Linked DNA regions of Tamandua tetradactyla. The protein of the gene in region 1 purifies or fractionates together with the protein of each later gene. This does not show direct contact. Links are inferred from orthologs where the notes say so. Each region holds a gene or a part of one and is shown in the gene's direction. Other genes may lie near its edges.

Region 1 (6,896 bases):
TATTAACAGTATATAAAATTCCTTTTTGTGAATATCCTGGTAGGAAAATGGACAATGGGCTAGCAATAAGATAACTTATTTGTTTATTGCAAATATACCACGATTACTTGGGTGCAGTAATTAAGCACAATCATATACTCTCATACAGTGCTGTGGGAAAATTCAAAATAACAATTATAACATCAGTAATCATGCCTGTTTGAAACTGTTGTATACCCCAGAAAAGCCATGCTCTCTAATCCTGATTCAGAATTGTTGGGTGGGATTTTTTGATTAAGTTATTTTCATGGAGATGTGACCTACCCAATTGTGGGTGGGACCTTTTGATTAGGTGGTTTCCATGGAGATCTGTCTCCACCCATCTAGGTGAGCCACTCACTGCACTCCTTTAAGAGGGAATCACTTTGGAAAAAGCTTGAGGGCTGACACACACACACACACACACACACACACAAAAGACTTTTGGAGATGGAGAAAGAAAATGCCCTGGTGAAGCCTTTTGAAATGAGATTCAGGGAGAGAAAGCTAGCAGACCTTGCCATGTGCCTTCCCAGTTGACAGAAAAACCCAATCATCGGCCCTTTCTTGAGTCAAGGTATCTTTCTTTGGATGTCTTAGTCTGGACATTTTTATGGCCTTAGAACTATAAACTTGTAACTTAATAAATTCTCTTTATAAAAGCCAACCCATTTCTGGTATATTGCATTTCCAGCAGCATTAGCAAGCCAAAACAGCTATTTATGGATTATGTGGTATACTTACAGTCTCATGTTTTTACATGTAGAAAGAAGTTGTAGCAACTTCTTACTACAACCTCACATGATAGCACAATTTTCCAGTTGCAGCACAGATTAAGCAGTTTTGCAAATCTCATAGCTTGTAGGTAACAACAAGGTTGACTTCTCCAAAGGCATAATACTTTTAGTGGCCCATGGAAATATTTTAATTTCTTTTCAAATCAGAAGAAAAAATGAGTGTTTAGGCCAGAAAAAATATTTTAATATACAATATCCATATATTCATCTTTATACCAAAGAAATTGTAAAATACAATTTTAACATTGTTTTATGGAGAAAGAGGCCCCAAAAAGAGCAAAAATGCCTAGGGCTTATGAAAATTAGAATATGGCTCCGGGTGGCAGTGTTGAGATTTTATTCCAGCCAATGAGACTCCTAAACTAAGCTTTTTCTTGAAGGCCAGTATGTTTCAAAAGGGTAAAAACTGCTCATACTCTTGGATCACTTTTAGGAATTTAAACTGAGATAGTAAGTAAGGATGTGAAAAAAGTTTATGAAAATCTATTTATAATGGTATTCATTTGAAACCAAACAAATACTCAATAAAAAAAAACTACTACCTTCTTGACCTAAAGGGAGAAGAAAGAAATTAGACAAAATAAAGTCTCTGGCTGAGAGATTTCAAACAGAGTCAGGAGGTTAGCCTGGGAGGTTATTCTTGTGCATTATATAGATATCCCTTTTTAGTTTATGGAGTGCAGGAGTGGCTAGAGGAAAGTACCTAAAACTGTCAAACTGTTTCAGTAGCCTTGATTCTTGAAGAATTTTGTATAACTATGTAGCTTTTACAGTGTGACTGTGATTGTAAAAACTTTGTGTCTAATACTCCTTTTATCCCATGCCCATGAGTAAAAAAAAAGAAAGGATAAAAAAATAATAGGGAGAGATAAAGGGTTAAAATTTGGGTAGACTGAAATACTGTGTGTCAATCAGAGGACGGGGTAAGGGGTATGGGTTGTATGAGGTTTTTTCTTTTATTTTATTTACTTTTCTGGAGAGATACAAATGTTCTAAAAATGATCACGGTGAAGAATACACAACTATGTGATGATATGTGAGTCACTGATTGTATAATATGGTTGAACTGTACATGTGTGGCTATTTCTCAATAAAAAATTTTTTAAAAATAAAAATAAAAAAAAAAAAGAACTGCTTCAATACTGGGTATCAACTGAGGGGCCTAGGTAAGTACTAAGAGCTTCTACGGAACTAAGCTAAAGAGAAAATCACAGTCAGAGTGGTGAAAGTAACAATATGGTAGAACAGGTAAGTGGAAGGAGGCTTGCATAAATTCGAGAGATGGAGCACAACCCCCTGCTGAGTATTTGTATGGAATTTCTATGGTGAGGAAAAGGTTCGAGGAAGCAGCCTGCATTAAGGCACAGAAATGAACGACTACATTCATAGAACTCTGAGAAGTTTGTTCTAACAGAAGGGACAGAGCATAAAAGAAGCTTCAAGTATCAAATTAAACTGTGCCTGGACAGCCCTGAAGAGCCAATGAAAGTTTGTAATCTGTGGAGTAACATGCTTAGAGATATATTTTAGGAAGATCTTTCTGAATATCTGTGTGCCGAATCTAGGTGAGAAGTCAAAAGGCAGGAACTAATAAAAAGGAGAGGAAAATAATGTGTATTCCTTCAAATATACAAGGAGTGTCAGAGCTCTTCTTGAGACAATTCTCTCAAAAGGCTTAGTTATGAGAGGAGAGAACTGGAAGGTGGGTTTAGTCAACGGAGAACTTGTTTATGACAGGAATCTTAAAATGTGATTATATTAAGGAGTTACAGGTAGTAGACAGGGTGAGGTCAAAGAGGGATCACAGGAAGAAGCACACAGGCGAAGAGGTTCACTTTGGAGAGAAGCGGAGACACCTAGCTTCTGAGACAAAGGGCAAAAAGTATGCGCGGGTATGGATGTAGGTAATTTGTGGGGTTAGGTGAGGCAGTTGGGGAAAAATGGCCCTTATTATCTCTACAAAGCAGAAGATGAGGTCATCTGGTGAGTAACATGGTCACTAGTGGTTGAAAGGTTTAGGTGGCGAAACGGTGAGAAAGAAGGAACACAGACAAGGAAATTTAAAGGGGGGGGGGCGGGGTTATTTCCGTGCTCCAGGGCAGATCCCAGCGGACCCAAGAGGAAAAGAGGTGAGTCAGCGCCTGGGTGATGGCGTGGGCAGTTTTAAGCAAGGGGGTCAGGTGACATCCGGAAGGGGCGGTTCTCCGGAAGTCAGGTGTCCTGAAGGGGCGGTTCCAGAAGCCATGTTGGGAGGGGCGACACAGCCTCAGCAGCTACAGTTGCAGTGCCCTTCCCCGTTTCCCGGACCTAACACTGTTTTCCGTCTGTGGGAGACTGGGGGAAGGGAGTCTTTCCACTTCTCTAAACCAATTGACTCAATTGTTTCATGGAGATAATCTACCCTACTTTATGGTCTATTAATTGCACAGACACATGTACTTGCCAATTAAGTATTAGCTTCATCACTGGGGTAATGTGGGCCGGGCCCGGGTGGGGTGGGGGGGAAATGAACATTTGAATTACTAATAAAAATGGTCTAGAAGACTTCTGGTTTTATTTACTCTTGCAATGTTCTGTGTCAAACACTCGGTGAAGTCAAGGAATATTTAGGAGCACCTACTTTTGCTACATAGCTTTGGGGAAAGAATGCCACTGCCCGGAGGACCTTCCTTGAGGTCACGCCCCCGGCTCAGCCGCGGACCGGAAAGTCAAGTCAGCAACACCCGCCGCCAGCTGGAAACCTCTTCCCAAATCTCGGCAGCGGCCCCGCCCCTTCCACAGGTTCAGGCCCCACCCCCTTCTCCCATTGGCCACTCCTCCATCTCCACTCGACCACTCCGAAGACCCGGAGTAGCGGAGTTTTCTAAAGGCATCAGTGGGGCGCCCTGGCTGCGCATGCTCGAGGAAAGCCGGATTCCGGGTCCAGACTTGGAGTCTCTGGGCGGCCGCGGCGCAGCGCGCGGTGTCGGGGCGGGCCGGCGGGTGGGGAGACGCGCACTCGGGCCGCGGCGCGCTCCCGCGGAAGGAGGTGTGGGTTGGGCTGGAGGTGGCGCGTGGCCGGGGTGGGGGTGGGGGGAGGGTCGGGAGTCGGCGAGGGCGGTGTGCGGGTTCCGAGTGGCTGCGGGCGGCCTGGGCTGCCGGGGCCGACGAGCCTGCTGTGAGATGGCGATCCTGGGCGCGGAAGGGTGAGAGTGACCCCGCAGGAGGAGGCGCCGCTGCCGTGGCCGTCCGGCCGCCGGGAGCAGACGGCTTCGCGCGGGTAAGGACGGTGCGGGGCGGTGGTGAGGGGCGGGTGCGGGCCCTGAGCCTCCGCGGCGGGCCGGGGAAACCCGCGCCGTGCGCACCCCGGCAGGACCCTCCGAGGGGCTGTCGGTGACGGTCAGTGACGGCCCGCGCCTTCCTGGCTGCCTCCCAGCCCTGGGGCTCCGAGTTTTGGGGGGTGGGGTCACGGGTCTTGCCCCGAGTTGGCTCTGGCGGAGGCCTCTGCTGCTGTTACTGGAGCCGGCAGAAGTGTTTCCGTGACTCTGCAGCCGCAGTTCTCAAGCTTCCTTAGTCTTCTTTTCGCCTCCGTTCTATCTCTTTTCATTTCCCTAACACCTCCTCACCAAACACAAATATTTTGGCTTAACTGCCGGTACCCCTGGTTTCACCGCAATTCCACCGTCTCAAACGAAGGACTCCCAGCCTTAGAACGTCTTCTTCTGACATGTTTTTATCACCCCCTGTTTTTCACTGACTGCAGTTCCCTTTAAAACAGCTCCCTCTTCCACCTTTGTGACCTGGTAGGTCCCTGTGACCTTGCAGTTTTTAACCAGTCCTTATCCCATCTATGACTTAGGACTTCTTTCTTTTTTTTATTTTGTAGTTTGCCCGTTGCTTTTACAACCTTTAAACTATCTTACGCACAACCCTTTCTTTACTCCATCGATATGGAGTTGAGCTTCTTTTGCTCCGATGATTATGTGAGACCTTCGTTACTGAAGTAGTTGTTATTTTGACATTTTTACTTCTTCATCCAGTGGCCTGATTTGGCTTTACAGTTTTTATTTGATGTTTCGTCTTTTTGTGTAGGCTCATGTGCAAAAAGATATGACTTTCTGCTTTAAGGTGCTACGGTTATAGTTATGGAAAAATAATGTCCCATTTTTTTTCCCTTTGGTCTTTTTTACCTGAAGTATCTGGTTTATAATTGTCTGCAGGTTTCTGTGAGAGTTTATACTTATGTATAAATCGACTTTCTTGTCTTATTAAGTCTCTGTATTAAACAAGCAAGATGCAGTGTATTGCACCTTTTAAAAAAAAGAAGGTATTCTTTTAATGTGACTTGTTTTGGCCATTCAGTAGTAAATCAATAGTTAATCGTTTTTAAATTAAATACTTGAGTTGACCAAGTGTTGGGTGCTACTCAAATTGAGACACATAAAGCATGTGGAATAGTTCATTTCTTTGGGATGTTGTTTATTAACATTTTCAAATAAATCTTCCTTTACAGTGCAAAACTGCTTATAAGTGCTGTGACACCACGGTTTTGAAAAGCAGTGATTTACAGTTACATTTTTTTTGAAGCTTGGCATGATAGAGGATGTCTGCCTTGGAAGAGATCCTAATCTTAGCTGTTTACCCCGTGCTGGCTGAATTTTTTTACTTCCTTACACAATTATTAAGTGTTTACTGCAAGACTGTGTGAGGTATTTAGGGAATACAAAGATGAGGATAACAGTCTCTGCCTTCAAACCTTCCACAGACTAGGTAGGTAGATAGTACTACACAAATGCCTCATTTGTCTTTTATTATATAGCTTCGCTTCATAAATGATACAGAAGTCCCCTAAGGACTTCAAAGTCAAAGGAGGTCGAGCTTATTTCATTCAGCAAGGTAAGGCTAGGGAGTTAGGATGCTTCTGGCTTCTGAAGTCTTGGTTTTGAAGGATTACTGTGACTTTGATAGACAGTGAAAGGTAATACACGCAGAGTAAAGGGTCTAAGAGCAGAGTTCATACATTCACAGAGAGACCAGTAATTATGTTTGATGGAACATAAAGTATTTGTACAGGAATAAAGGATGATAAAACTTGAAGTAAAAATTTGGCCCAGTTTATGGATTGCTTGTAATGCCAGGTTTATCACCTTGGATTTAGTAGGCAGTGAGGTTCCAGAGAAGATTTTTGAGTTGGGGATGCAACGACTAAAGCTGTATTTTAGGATTAATCCAGTAGTCGCGTGTGGGGAGGCCTCCCCATTGCTCTCTGTCTGGGCTATAGATAGTGACGTAAGTATCAGAACTGAGGTGGTGATAATGGGAATGGAAAGGAGAAAGGGAGTAGAATAGACCAGATTTGATGATGAAAGAAAGAATGAAGAAAATATAAAATATCCAAGATTCTGATCCAGATTGGTTGGGAGAATGGTGGTAACATTTTGAGCAAAATCTTTGGAAGCTTTAATCCCAGTGCATGTATGTTATTTTACAGCTGTAGTTGTAATTTTGAGACAACTAACCATCTGAGACAACTAACCCTTTGTGAAACTAAAGAAATCAGTTGGCTTGAAAAATTCCCATATGCACCTGTGCTTTGTGGATTGAATTATAGGGAAATCCATACACCACCTGAAGCTCAACCGTGGAACCTGTGGACCAGTGGGTTGGGTGGGGAGGCAGATCTCAGAATGATCTGGGAGCTTTATAAAACAATAGAACTTTTAGGTTCCTCTATCCACACTGATGAAGAACCCCTGCTGTAGAGGGTACCTAGAGATGTAATATCTTATGCTTGTGTTGTACTTCATAGTTTATAGGAATTTTGACTAACATATTCTTTCCTATTATATTATGAAACAGACTAACCCAAGAGGTTAAATGATTTGCCCTTAGTAAACAAGTGGGTAAAGTGGAATCAGGAGTTAGTTAACTGACAGTGATGGTTTTCTTTCTTGTATGAAGATAATATGATTTACCATCAGTTGGGTATAGTTAGTGCCTCTAAGTGACTTCATCAGGGAGGATGATATGAGTCCAGAAGGTTCCTTCCACATCTTAACATTTTGTGATTCTTCTGTTTAGGTTTTCAATGGAATCTTTGTA
Region 2 (6,986 bases), on another chromosome or scaffold:
TGATACTAGTTTCTCCTTCATAGGGTTACTATGAGGAATAAATACATGAATAGTTATGAAGCATTTCTGTCTGGCTTATTACAGTACAATGTTTGTTAATTAAAGATTAAATGATAACACTGAACCAGATGTGTTGCTATAAGCCAGAGCATAAAGATGAGTAAGATCAAGTTCCTGCTGTCAAGACACTCACAATTCAATAGCAAAAGAAAGGCAAAACATTTCTATTTCTTTACCCACCATTTTATAGTTAGAATGAAAATGTCATTTTGCTATTAATAAATTCAAACGTCTTGGTTAATATCTAGAGAATAGCAAAAGAAAATACTCTCATATTTTCTAGAGAATGAAAGAATGTGGCCAACACAAGAAGTGACGATCACTGTTTGAGGGGCTTCCCTGTAAGAGGCAGCGTCACAAACCACAGTACACTTTCGGGAAGGTGGTCATGACGATACCCTGAGAGAAACCATTAAGGGGATTGGAGTATTTAGCTTGAAAAAGACCAAGTTGGACCACAGGAATGCTTATCCAGCATGGAAGGGCTCTCAGGTCCAGAAGAGATGACACATGTTGCTCTAGGAGGCAGTATGAGGACCAGCTTTCAGTGAGCCTCACTGAAGGCAGCTCTGGGCTGTCTTCCAAAGGAAAGAAGATAATTGGAATGAGCACTGGCTTAAAAGTTAGAGAGGTCTGATTACCAAACCCATCTCCATGGAGCCAGGAGCCCCCATTCCAGTTGATTCATGTTGTTTCAAGCCTTTGTGGGGAGTGGGATCTCAGGGTTAGAGGGGGAGGGGGTGAGGGAGGGAATGTTCTTTTCCTTGAAAGCTCAGCAAACTTTCACTTGTCCTTGAGGTCTCAGCCAGAAGGTGATGGCAGTGATTAGCCAGGGAAGCTAATCCCTCTCTCCTGCATCAGCATTCCACTTAGAATATACTTCCAGCCCTACCAGAGTCATAGATTCCCCTGTTGTTCACACGGTGAGTCTTTGAAGACAAGGCATACGTTTTCACTTTCTTTCTTGCTTCATCTGGCTTCCAGTCAATGATGGGTGAATGTACACATTTTTTCAATAGTGACTATCACATGGCAAATCTGTTCTTGAATCAAAAAGCCCAAAGTGTTGGGAAGTACAGAGCAGTCATTTTTGCTATTGAGGCTGACATATTTTCCCCATTCTCTTATTCATTTGAACAAATATACTGCCAACACCATTTACCTGATGTCCAGGGGAATTTGTCCCCTAAATTCTCTTTTGGAACTGAAGAGAAGACCCCTGATCCAGGGTTGAGTGCTGTTGGCAGTGTGTGGTGAGGATTCAGAGGTCAAAAGTGATTCTAATTTCCTAGTTTGGGCTCCTATTAACCCCCATCCCCACCCCAGGGACCATTTTTCTCTGAGGGTTGGGATATTTGTACAACTTAAATTCTTGCAGAGGATGATAATTTATATAGCTGGTTTCATCTAGGTAGTGGCTAAGATTCCTAATTAAGTATTCACCAAGCTATCAAGGCAGATTAACATCTTATCTCCTAAAGAAATATCTGTGAATGCACTACCAAAGACAATTTTCTTCCCTATTACTGAGCATGTTTTTATGGGCAGGCCTTTCTTTTTTTTCTTTAAATTTATTTATTTGTTTATTTTAATAGGCAACAGTCACGTGAAAAACCATGTATAATATGCCCCTTTCGGGGTAACAAGAGGAGGTTAAATATACATATATGCAATTGCTTATATAAGTTCAGAATATCTATCTCTTGAAGGGTATATAGGAATATGTCAATACTGGCTACACCTAGGAGGGGAGCTAAGTGTCAAGCAGGCAGGGAGAGAATGAAACTTTTCACTTATGCTCTTTTGTATCTTTTGGGATTGAGCCATAGAAATTATCCAAATTCCTTAAATCCAAAACATAAGCCAATAATAATTTCATGTCTAACACTTTGATGGGGTTGTTCAAGTGACATTGCTGCCAGATTAACATGGTAGAGGGAAAACAGCTTAAATACTTGGCCAGCAAATGACATCTGTTGCTGGTAACGGAGGAAGTTCAACTTGGTTGTCTTAACATGGCTTGGGTTTTACACTCATTTTCTATTTTTAAAATTCTTTTATTTTCTTCCTGATTCAATTAACAAGTTTTTATTTAGTGCCTGCTCTCTGCCCAGCACTGTCCTAGGAATTCTAAGAGATATAAAAGAAGCTTCGTGAAACAATTTTGTAAATTCTTGCCAAGTGTGGAGATCAGTGTGGAATGGGGTGGCTAGAAAGTTGTCTTGGAAGCATTGAGCCTTGAGCTGAGCTTTGGAAAGAGGCTGAGATAAGTAGAAGGCGTGCAGAAGATGCTTAACGGGCGCAGAGAGTGCACGGTGGGGAGAAGAGAGAACTAAAAGTGATCAGAGAGGCTAAGGCCAGTTTAGAAAGGACCTGATGGAGAGGTAATCCTAATATTAGCATGGAAAGAGGAGAGAAAGGAAACCAGGTGCAAGAAGACCAGGGGATAGCTTGTTACAGTAATCTGTACGTAAAATGAGGGTTTGGATTACAATGTACAAGAGGTTATGCAAAGGAAAGAAAGAATTCATGAGACTTTTCAAAGGAAGAAATATCAGGTCTTGATGGCAAGCTGGAAATAAGAAGGGAGAAAGGTCACACATAATTTCAATATTTGTAGCTTGGGAGAAAAATGACTCATTTTCATTTCTCTTTTTTTCCTCACACACAATTTGAAACCCTCCTAATGTCCAGTTGGCGCATCATGACAAAAATAATCTTTTTTTTTTTCATTAGAAACATGTTATCTTGTTTGCCTCTATCTACAAAACCCAAGCTGAATCCTGCCCTACATTTTTCTATGCTAGCACTCACACCTTTGTAGAAGGGTTTACTGCTCAGGCCTTGTGGTGTGTGGTTATGTTTAGGAGCCACTAGGCCAAAAGTTCTTTGTGGGCAGGGAACGTATTTTATGGATGGTAAGTACTCAGTAAGTGTGTTACTTGTTGAAGAAAATGGGATTTAAATAAAATGAAACATTAAAAATTTTCCAGAAGTAACTGCATTAAACAAATCATTGAAATTAGAATTTGCATGCATTAAAAGCTTCTCTGCTTCAATCTCTTAAATCACTTGTCAAGGAAGATCACGTGATTTTAACCGCGTTAAGGTCACAGTTTAACTTCTCAGTTTAAATGCTTCAAAACAGTAAAAATATACTAATACTCTGTAATAAACGTCGCTAAAATGAACCGGAATTGAATGAAACACTTCACATATGTTTTACAGAAGTTTTTGGGTAGTGATTACTATTATCACCGTTTAACAGGATAGTAAACAGGAACAGAAAGGTTAAAAAATTTGCACAATGTCACCCAGGTGATAAGCGTTGGAGCTGGGATTTGAACCCAGGTAGTTTGAAGTGGAGTCTCCAGCCCTATTAGCTTTACTCTATATTGCACATACGTAAAGTGCTCATAGTGTGTGCGTCTTAAATGGAATCTTCAAACAATTCTTTTTTGGGGCACTACAGGTTATTTGAAGCATACTAATATATCTTTTTTTTTTCCCTTCCCAACCCAGTATTGATCGGTGTCCAGTTTTATACAGTATATCCTTAAAAGGAAACATGAAAGGAAGAAATACATTTGTATTCTCTTCAGAAATGTACAAGAGTAAACGAATTACTCTTGCAATAAAAGCATTTTACAGACCACCGAATAAAAACCCCTTTACCTGGAACCGAAATAATACCCCCCTCCCCTCGCTTTATTAAAAGCCTCGCTTTATTTGGAAACTCTTTAAATAAGTGGTCATATGATTAAAAAAAGAAGCGGCGCGCCCCCTCCCCGGCGGCCGGGCGCAGCTGTCCGCGCCTCGCCCGCGCCCAGCCGCCCGCATTCCAATTCTCTGAGGTCACCGCCGCCGCCGCCCCGGATCCGTCCACCCGCCGGGCCCAGGGGGAGGAACGCCTGGCCCCGGCCCGCTCCGCTGTCCCGGCCGCGTGTCCAGTGTCCGTCTGTCAGTCCGTTTTCCTGCCGCCCGCGCCCCCGCCCGGTTTCTTTGCACCGCGCCCCCCAGCCGCTGGCCCCACCTCCCAGCCTAGCCTCTCGCCGTCGCCGCGGGCTAACTGTCCAGGGGAATGGTCTACGGGCCGACTTTTTGGAGACAGGAAGTGAGGAATGCGAGCCCCATGAGCGCGCCACGGCGCGGGCTGGCGTGCGGACGAGGCTGCAGCGGCCGCGCGACTGGGCCCGGGGAGGCGGGCCGCTGAACCCGCGCGCGGCCCCGAGGATGCGGGAGCGGGAGCAGGTGAGGGCGCGGGGCCCCGGCGGGCGGGCTGTGTCCGTACGCAGGGACCCCCGAGCGCACTGGTCAGCCCTGAAGTCCTGGAGGATGGGTCTCGTGGATCCGACAGATGGCAGACACGTAACAAAGAGAAAAGTCTTCCTTTTCCAGGTTCTCTTTGATATATTTGAGTAATTTTATTTTGACCGCCTCAGCTAATTGTTGGCGGCTTAATTCTGGATCAGATATGTAAAAGTCAGACATAATTTGTGCTTCTCGGGATCTGAAAGTGTGAAATTGACCACATAACTTTGGCGAGAGGGGGCGGAGGGAAGGACTGTTTTGGTGACGTCTTGTTTTGTTTTGGGAGTAATGAGTGTTTAATTTAGAAAAAAGAATTCTTGGGTCTGCAAATTCCGACTTGTGATTTCTGCAAATCCCGATTAGATTGACTGCTCTTGGCAAGCTCGTACTATTTTCCTTTTTGCTGAGAAAGCCTTATGATAATAGCGTATGGTCGCAAACACATTCAAAACACTCGTGTGCTCCATGTGACAGTATTAGGATATGGTAGTAATTTTACTCTGGAAATATTTACGTTTTGTTTCTAAGGTATTTCATTCTCCACTGTCTTTACCCAGATATCTTATTTGTCCATGAGAAACATGTTTCATTTAATATATAGATTTATTTTTATTTTATTTTGGGGGGGAGGGTGCATGCGCCGGGAATGGGATCTTCGGCATGGCAGGAGAGCTTTCTACCACTGAACCACCCGTATACCCTAATGTATAGATTCAGATAGCCTGAAAGTATCATATACTTTCTTCCTGTAGTGATTATTTTATTTTGGAGCAACTTTGGCAAACTGACATATGGTGAGGGCAATAGAAGCAAGGGGGAAAATGCTACAAGATTCCAGGTTAACGTGTATTTGAGAAACTTTTGGAAGGGGTTGTGAAGTGCATAAATTATAAGGACTTACAAATAGCTCAGACTGCCTTTTGAAAGCTTTTACTGAAGCAGAATTTAATGTGTTTCTGCTGTCTTTAGTACATAACTGAAAAGTTTTGTAAAGAAACAAAGTATCTCCTAGACTTTTCTTCAAAAACCTATTATTTAGGAATTATCTGTTTACTTTAGTAGTTAGATAAATTATAACTTTATACCCAACTGCTTTTCTAATTATTGCATATTATTTTACACCTAACACGGACAAAAAGCCTGATCACCTTAAACTTCTGCTATTCTTGATTTTGATACTACTTTCAAACATTCATAGTCTTATGATATCACTTGAAAGCAAATATTGTCCATGATTGAAAATTAAGATCAATAAATCAGTGATAATTTTTCAAAAATTTCATTCAGTATAACACTATTTCAACACAATGGGTTTCATATAAATATGTAAAAAGCAAGCCATACTCATGGATGTATCTTGTGAAAAAAAATGCTCCCTATAAACACATACATCAACTTTTTAAGTTACGTTATAACATCTTCCAAAATAAAAAAAACTCAATAGCAAAAACTTTGACTTCTCATTATCCCTGATGCTGAAAAACATTTCAAATCTCAGGGACAAATGAAAGTTTGCTTAATCAGAGCTTAAGTTTATTAAGTTATGTAGTGTAGTGTCTACTGCCTTCAAGGCTTAGTTCTATCTTTGTAGTGAAAAGACTACCAAATCTGAACTCGTAGTACAAATATTTCTCTTTCCTCTGCTATATGCAATATCTTGTTCATCTATACGACTTAGTCTGTCCTGTTTCCAGTTACCATGATTTGTATATAAAATTGAAATCCACTACTTCATCTTCTGAAAGGGTATTTAGTATACGTAGTATGTTAAACATACCTAATCTTTTAAATTTACACAAACACTGCTGACTTAGGTAATTTTCCAATTAAAAGCTATCAACGGCTGTCTTTTCCTGATTTTTATTTCTCATTTTGCTCTAATTATTTCTAGTTTATACCTCTAAAACAAACAGCAAAGAGTTTTGAAAAACTGCAGGTGGAAACTATCTTTATAGAATTACTTTGTTTCCTTCAATAGTATAGTACTTTTAGTAAGCTACAGAAGGCAGTTAGAAAATGCTCTTAGTAAATGCTCTTAGTTAACACTGTTTTAAGTGGTTCCATTTTTGTTTCCTCTGGCCTTCCTCTATACTGTTTAACTTTTATTTTTCTGGCTATCCGAGGATAACTAGCGCTAGAAAAGCACAACGACAACAACAAAAACAGCAGACAGGGAGAAAACCGTGGTCGGTTCCTGATTAGAGAACTCTGAGTGTAATTATAGCATCCTCGTAATCTCCTTAAGGAGAGAGACTGTTTGGAATTCGTCTTTGATTTCTCACAATGTCTTCTGAACTGCCTTGTATTCAGGCAGGCAGTACTCATTTGTGGACTGGAATTTTCAGTTTGTTAAGTTCGCCAAAACCTAGTGTAATAGCTTAAATCCTATTTCTCTAGTATTGCCATCCTCCAGTCTTGAGTGGCATCACTTCTGAGGCTAAGACGCAGTCGGGAAAGCGAGAAATAGTAAAAGCACTAGGGGTGAGGGACCTGGGGTCGACTGCCAGCTTAGCTTGTCCCTGTGTGAAGCTGAGAAAACCGCTCTCCTTTTGAGGCTTGGGTTCCGTGTCTGTCAGATGAGAGGGTTGGGGATCGCCTGGCCGATCCTGTCCCAC

Evidence for each region. The genes of interacting proteins can lie anywhere in the genome.
Region 2: the proteins of WWP1 (region 1) and PTPN21 purify together in Homo sapiens (affinity purification with mass spectrometry; 3 studies listed by BioGRID). This does not show direct contact. The link is inferred for Tamandua tetradactyla from reciprocal best matches to the Homo sapiens genes WWP1 and PTPN21.

The regions. Positions count from the first base shown.
Region 1 is NC_135332.1:129,826,974-129,833,869, forward strand, and holds the start of WWP1 (NEDD4-like E3 ubiquitin-protein ligase WWP1), read left to right. Parts: upstream 1-3,887; 5' UTR 3,888-4,074; intron 4,075-6,896. UniProt on the Homo sapiens protein: E3 ubiquitin-protein ligase which accepts ubiquitin from an E2 ubiquitin-conjugating enzyme in the form of a thioester and then directly transfers the ubiquitin to targeted substrates.
Region 2 is NC_135338.1:48,817,524-48,824,509, reverse strand, and holds the start of PTPN21 (tyrosine-protein phosphatase non-receptor type 21), read left to right. Parts: upstream 1-3,974; 5' UTR 3,975-4,311; intron 4,312-4,317; exon of another isoform or gene 4,318-4,458; intron 4,459-6,986.